Oryctolagus cuniculus: one gene and its partner. The protein of the gene in region 1 purifies or fractionates together with the protein of each later gene. This does not show direct contact. Links are inferred from orthologs where the notes say so. Each region holds a gene or a part of one and is shown in the gene's direction. Other genes may lie near its edges.

Region 1 (2,976 bases):
TTGTAGTGAAAGGCTTTGTTGATTTTCTCGTCTGCCAATGCCTAAGTGGGAGTTAACGCTGTTTGTGCCAGCGTGGGTGAGGTTGCATGGTTGGTGTCAGGCGATTCTCAGGTGAGAACGCTCTCAGTTGTAAATGCAGAGTTCAGAACCTCATAGTGCCTTTGTTCAAGCATGAAAAAGGCGTGTCCTCAGGGGTTAGTGTTTTTTGTTTTTTCCCCAGAAACCTTTTATTCAGGGTATACGGACTTCATGCATTTCACAGATAGAACTTCAGGAACATAGTGACTCCTCCCACCCTACCTGCCCTTCTCCCTCCTCCCTCTCCTATTCCCATTCTTATTTTTTATGAAGATTATTTTCAGGTAACTTTATACACATAAGATTATACTAAGTAAAGAGTTAAACCAATAGTGGAAACAGGACTGTTCAAAGTCATCACATCTCGAAGTGTCGATTTCACCTCTAGATTGCCTTTTGGTGCTCTGTTAGTTACCACAGGTCAGGGAGAACATATGGTATTTGTCCTTTTGGGACGGGCTTATTTCACTAAGTATGATGTTTTCCAGTTGCATCTATTTTGTTGCAAATGATATGATTTCTTAACCATGGTGTAGTGTTCCATGGTGTATGTATCCCGTAGTTTCTTTCCATTCTTCAGTTGATGGACAGTTGGGTTGATTCCACTTAGCCACTGTCACTTGAGCTGCAGGGGATCAGGGTTTAATAAGGCTGACCGTTTGTACAGCTTCCTGGAGGGCATTAGTAAAACTGCCTCCCCCTCATTGGAGTGGCTGACTGCTGGTCAGGTCTGGCTCTGCTGCCTTGATTATACCGAGGGCCCCACAATTTGAATCACTTCTGTACCACTTTTCAAAATAATGAGCTGGCCGCCCAACAGCCCCCAGAGTTGGCTTGGTTTTGTTTTGGGATACTACAACCAGCCGGTTTTACTAATTTTGTGTATTACGAATGTTAAGTAAGTCATCACCATCTGCTTGCCTGGCCATTTGAGCAATGCCTGTCACTTCCAGGAAACCTGTAAATGTTGATCTAGATCGGCTTTTAGTTTCAGCTTTTAAGAGTGGGATTGTAGGAGGTTAAGTGAGGGGCCAGCATCCCATATGGGCCCTGGTTCCGGTCCTGGCTGCTCCATGTCCAGTCCAGCTCCCTGCTAATGCACCTGGGAAAGCAGCAGATGGCGGCCCAGTGCTGGGGCTCCTTCCACCCACATGGGAGACCTGGATGGAGTTCCGGATGCCTGGCTTCAGCCTGGACTGGCCTGCTCACAGCTGTTGTGGCCTTTTGTGAACCAGTGGAGGAAGTGTGCGCACCCCATCCCGTCCCTGCAATTCTGCCTTTCAAATAAGTAAATCAGTCTTGCAGACACGTTAAATGATAGCAAGAAAAGCCGGTACTCCACACTTTGTTGTATGTTACGAGGAAAATCATGCTATATTGAGAATCCAGTGCACCTCCTCTTTTGGGGACCTTGTAATGCACAGCACGTAGTCAGTAGCCTTCTCCCCTCCACACCAGGTAGAGAATGTGAGGACAGAAAAATGAGAGCCTCGTTTTCCTTTTCTTTGCCATTAGTCAAGGGGTGTTTGTCATAAGTAAGTGCAAAACCTGTTACTTTCTTGACAGTGATGGTGGCCTGCGTTTTGGAGAAATGGAACGAGACTGTCAGATTGCCCATGGAGCAGCCCAGTTCCTAAGAGAAAGGCTGTTTGAGGCATCTGATCCCTATCAGGTTCATGTTTGCAATCTGTGTGGAATCATGGCCATTGCCAACACCAGGACCCACACGTACGAGTGCAGGGGCTGCCGCAATAAGACCCAGGTGAGTGTGTGGATCCAGGAGGTGGGGTCATTCAGGCTGACGCGGTGTGGCGGATTTGTCTGAAAGCAAGTTTGGGTGTGGTCTGCGTGGCAGCTGTTCGTCTTCTGTACGTAACAGTGGGGGAGGGGCAGCAGTGTAAGGCAGGGGCCGGATGTGAGCCCCCGGCCGCTGGGGACGCCTCCTCGGAGGACCAGCTCTTTCCGGGGCAGGGCCGTGGGCTGCGTCCCGTGCCCCCCCAGCTCTGCTCACTACGCCCTGCTCTCCCCTTTCAGATTTCTTTGGTGCGGATGCCGTACGCGTGCAAACTGTTGTTTCAGGAACTGATGTCCATGAGCATTGCGCCTCGAATGATGAGCGTGTAGCTCCTGGCCTCCCAACAGATACTTCTGATTCGGCTTTAAAAAACGACAAATTGTACTGTGTTGCAGTGAAAAGCATTTTATTTGTTTTGTTTAATGATACGCATGTTTTTCTGTAAATAAAGTTTTGTAGATAGTCTCGATGTGTCATCCTTATGCTGGCACTGTTGTGTGAAACCAGTGGCTAAGTAAAGCGTTAGCTAGGGCCGCGTGTTAGCCGAGAGCAGGAGCCGCAGTTCCCGTGACTGCTTGCAGCTTGCCGACCTGCAGTGCTGCGGTTACAGCTCAGCACCTTCCCCTGGGCACAGGAAGAAAACGGAAACAGTCAGTTCAGACATCAGGGCCTGACTTCCTGGCACGAGGCTGACCTGTCAGCGCCTGTAGTGCTGGCCTATCCAAATGAAGGTGTCAAGTGTGCACCTGAAGCGGGCGGGGCTGGGAGCCTTATTTCTGCAGTGGAATTCTGTTCTGCCTGCACTTGACTGCCGAAAAGCTGACGCATCATGGCTCTCCCTCGGCCAAGGAACAGCGCGCACACACACACACACGCACACACACACACACTGCGGGCATTTGGGCCATTTGGGTATCTAACACCATTTGTGGGTTCAGAGTCCCACCTGTGGTTGCCTTGGCAGGCCCAGACCCCATGATTCTGTGGGCCGGACGTTCCCCACCCCTGGCCTAAAATACCAGAACCTGCAGGGGCAGGCTAGGCGCTCGAGGAGTTGAGATCTGTGGATCTGGGGCACGGGAGAGCGGCGAGGGGCAGCTCCC
Region 2 (3,651 bases), on another chromosome or scaffold:
GGTGGGACACACTGCTTACAGCATCATCCGCTTTTAGTGACTTAGTGTTAGGTAGTACTTTGTCCACTGCTCCATGTGTTTGACATAGAACTTTAAGTGGATGTTGAGAATATATGTATAGATTAATGGGATGGGAGAAAATGTGTGTAGACTATAGAGGGAATAGAAAATATTGATATACTTAGTGATAATTTGAGCTTCCAGGGAAAGTATCTTGTCTTACTTCCTAGATATTGCTTAGCTACATCCCCATCAGGTGCTGTGCACTAACTAATAGAAAACTAGGCTCTACTCTCCCTTCACTTTTCCTTTTTTTCTTTTTTTTAAAGATTTATTTTATTTATTTGAAAGAGTTACAGAGAGAGAGGTTTTCCATCTGCTGGTTCACTCCCCAGATGGCCACAACGGCCAGAGCTGAGCCGATCTGAAGCCAGGAGCCAGGAGCTTCTTCAGGGTGTCCCACACAGGTGCAGGGGCCCAAGGTTTTGTCCCATCTTCTGCTTTCCCAGGCCATAGCAGAGAGCTGGATAGGAAGCAGAGCAGCCGGGACTAGAACCGGTGCCCATATGGGATGTAACATTGCAGGCGGCAGCTTAACCTGCTATGCCACAGCGCCGGCCCCTGTCTTCACTTTTCTTAAAAATTCAGTTGTCCTGGATTGGTATTTTTGAAGCATTCTTTTTTTTTTCTTCCCCCTCAGATTTATTCATTTATTTGAAAGGCAGAGAGAGAGAGAGATCTTTGATCTGCTGGTTCACTTCCCAAATGGCCACAACGGTCAGAGCTGAACTGATCAGGAGCCAGGAATTTCTTCCGGGTCTCTCATGTGGGTGCAGGAGCCCAAGTACTTGGGCCATCTTTTACTCCTTTCCCAGGCACATTAGCAGGGGCTGGATTGGAAGTGGAGCAGTCAAGATTTGAACCAGTGCCCATATGGGATGCCAGCACTGCAGATGGCAGCTTTACCTGCAGTGCCACAGCGCCAGCTCCAGCACTCCTTTTTAGTAGTCACTTGTTTTCCCTTTTGGTGCATTAGAAGTGTCACCTACTTAGGACTGCAACATCAAGGAAATGTTTTTAAATTGTCTGTGGAATCATAAATGCCATCCTAAGATGTTTTTAGGTTAAATTAAACCCTGCAGCTTGAAATTAGCTTCCTTGCAAGAGACATTGTAGTTGCTCCCACTATACTTACTCTTAATATTCCTGGCCTGAGGGGAAGACAATAAAGAAGTTGAAGTGATAAAGGAAGAAGGAAGCATGAGAAAAGGGAGGAGCAAAGCCAGGAATGAGCATTGCCACCTGCCAGCAGTTGGTGGTGAAGCCCTTGCGTGTGTGCAGTAAGCACATCACCAGTGTCTAAAATTTATTTGGGCTTTTGTTGGATACTTGTTTCTGTAGGACTTTTTTTTTTTTTTTTTTAAAGATTTTATTTATTTATTTGAGAGGTAGAATTACAGACAGTGATAGGAAGAGACAGAAAGAAGGGTCTTCCACCTGCTGGTTCACTCCCCAAATGGCTGCAATGGCCAGAGCTGCTCCGATCAGAAGCCAGGAGCCAGGAGCTTCTTCAGGGTCTCCCACAGGGTACCGGGGCCCAAGAACCTGGGCCATCATCTTTCCCAGGCCATAGCAGAGAGCTGGATTGGAAGAGGAGCAGCCGGAACTAGAACCAGTGCCCATGTGGGATGCTGGTGCTGCAGGTGGAGGATTAACGTATTGCGCCATGGCGCTGGCCCCTCTGTAGGACTTTTCTTGGATAGAGGTAGTCATTTTTCAAGCATTAATTTCTTGATTTTCATTGTGCTATTGAAGTATAACTCTCAGGCCTAGAAGCTAAGATTTAATCTAGGGAGGAAGGCTCTGTCAGGGAATTCAGTACAGCATTGGAGATTTTTGACATTAGATAAGTCTCATTGTTTTGTATGTATACATGCATGTGCCCACAGACTTAATGTACCCATATTTGTAACTGTTGTAAAGTTAATTTGTAAAGAGGTAGGATATTTCAGTGCATTGTTGTTCGGTAGTGGACATCGGTTACGACAGCCAGCAGGCTGATAGGTCTCAGAAGCATTGCCCTTTGTATCTGTGGTGGGGTGCAGCCATCGGGCTCCTGCCATTGCTGCAGAGACCTCCAAGTGGGGTGTTACCGCCTCTTTTTTTCTGAGTCTGTTTGAAGAACTTACCATTGAAAAATTGTAAGGAAAAGTGTGAATGTGTAACTTTTTCCTTTCCCCTTTGTTTTAAAGGAGATGCAAGCAAAGCTCGCAGCACAAAAATTAGCTGAAAAACTGAATATTAAAATGCAGAGTTACAATCCAGAAGGGGAGTCTTCCAGGCAATACCGGGAAGTAAGGGATGAAGATGATCAGTCCTCCGATGATGAATGCTGAAGATGGGCATTGGGATCATCTCCTAAACCTCAGGCTGTTGAAATGTCATTATCTCACATCCTACTTTGTAAGCATCAAGATCAGTGTCAGACCTTGTTGAGGGAAAGAATTTTGTGAAGTTACACAACGGCAACTGTGAACAAAAGCCCAGTTTGTCTTTCAGATGACTTTCATGTGCTTGAAGTTTAATATTTGAAAACAGTATGTAACCACATTGTATTAAAGTTTTGCAGTATGTTGTGCATTGGTCTGATATTTGAGTGTATGATAAAACACATTTTTTTTCCTTTAAGCCAAATGAAAGATAATTTTATTTTTTAATAACTCAATCAAATAGGATTTATTACATGTCTTTCAGTGAAACACTTAGTTGTCCCAGGCAGCTAAAGTAAATTAGGAAGACATAGTTCCCTGCTTTTTTAAATAATGAAAGGATGAAGTCTGGAGAATTATGCATGTTTGCATGGAATTACTGAGATACTGGGTTTGAAATACCTAGGAAGATACTCAGAAAATTCTTAACAAATGTTTGTTTCCTTCCGTCTCACCTTAGGAAGAATGTTACCTTTCCTCTGATCAGGAATAAGTACTTTGAGTACATGCTGGAAGGTGGACGGTCTTTATAGGTGACCAGGTTTGCCTGGAGTACTATGAGATACAGGAAAAGTCCAAGCCGACTGTGCTTGCTGGGAGCAATAGCTCTTTTGTGTTTCACCTGATTGGAGTTCATTGCTCTCACTCATGATGGGTTCATTGTGTAGGACACTAATGTTTGGTAAGGAAACCAATAATTGTTTTTTAAAAGTTACAATTGTCAGTGTATTTTTTTTCTTCAAAGAGACATACATAGGCTGTAGAAACCTCAGTCTTATACACACACACACACACACACACACACACGTGTTCATGTCCTTTTAAGTGATTTTATGGTTGTCTCCAGAGATTAATACTTATGTTACAAAAAAAATTGTCTAAAATGTTGAAGCTTTTAAAAAATGTTGAAAGGAAAAATAAAATATTAGAGCAACTTAAACACTCATGGTTGTATTTTACTGGTATTTAGTTAAATTTAACTTCCTACTACAAAAGAGTGTTCATGTATGAGATTTGACTGAAAATATGTTTGATAGGAAGGGCTCAGTTCTATTTCGTACGCTTCCAGTTGTGGTAACTGCTCTCTGTCTCCCCTCTCCTCCTGGAAAAGCAGATGAAAAAAATGTACTGAGCTAACAGTCATAACTGTTTTTAATTTTTG

Evidence for each region. Proteins that work in one complex are often made in the same cells at the same time.
Region 2: the proteins of POLR2B (region 1) and POLR2M purify together in Homo sapiens (affinity purification with mass spectrometry; 3 studies listed by BioGRID and IntAct, counting the BioPlex papers as one, with this or other methods). This does not show direct contact. The link is inferred for Oryctolagus cuniculus from reciprocal best matches to the Homo sapiens genes POLR2B and POLR2M.

The regions. Positions count from the first base shown.
Region 1 is NC_091439.1:107,643,758-107,646,733, reverse strand, and holds the end of POLR2B (DNA-directed RNA polymerase II subunit RPB2), read left to right. Parts: intron 1-1,644; coding exon 1,645-1,840; intron 1,841-2,112; coding exon 2,113-2,202; 3' UTR 2,203-2,338; downstream 2,339-2,976. Other genes in the region: IGFBP7 (insulin-like growth factor-binding protein 7), read right to left, coding at 2,478-2,497. UniProt on the Homo sapiens protein: Catalytic core component of RNA polymerase II (Pol II), a DNA-dependent RNA polymerase which synthesizes mRNA precursors and many functional non-coding RNAs using the four ribonucleoside triphosphates as substrates.
Region 2 is NC_091443.1:80,579,574-80,583,224, forward strand, and holds the end of POLR2M (protein GRINL1A), read left to right. Parts: intron 1-2,252; coding exon 2,253-2,396; 3' UTR 2,397-3,429; downstream 3,430-3,651.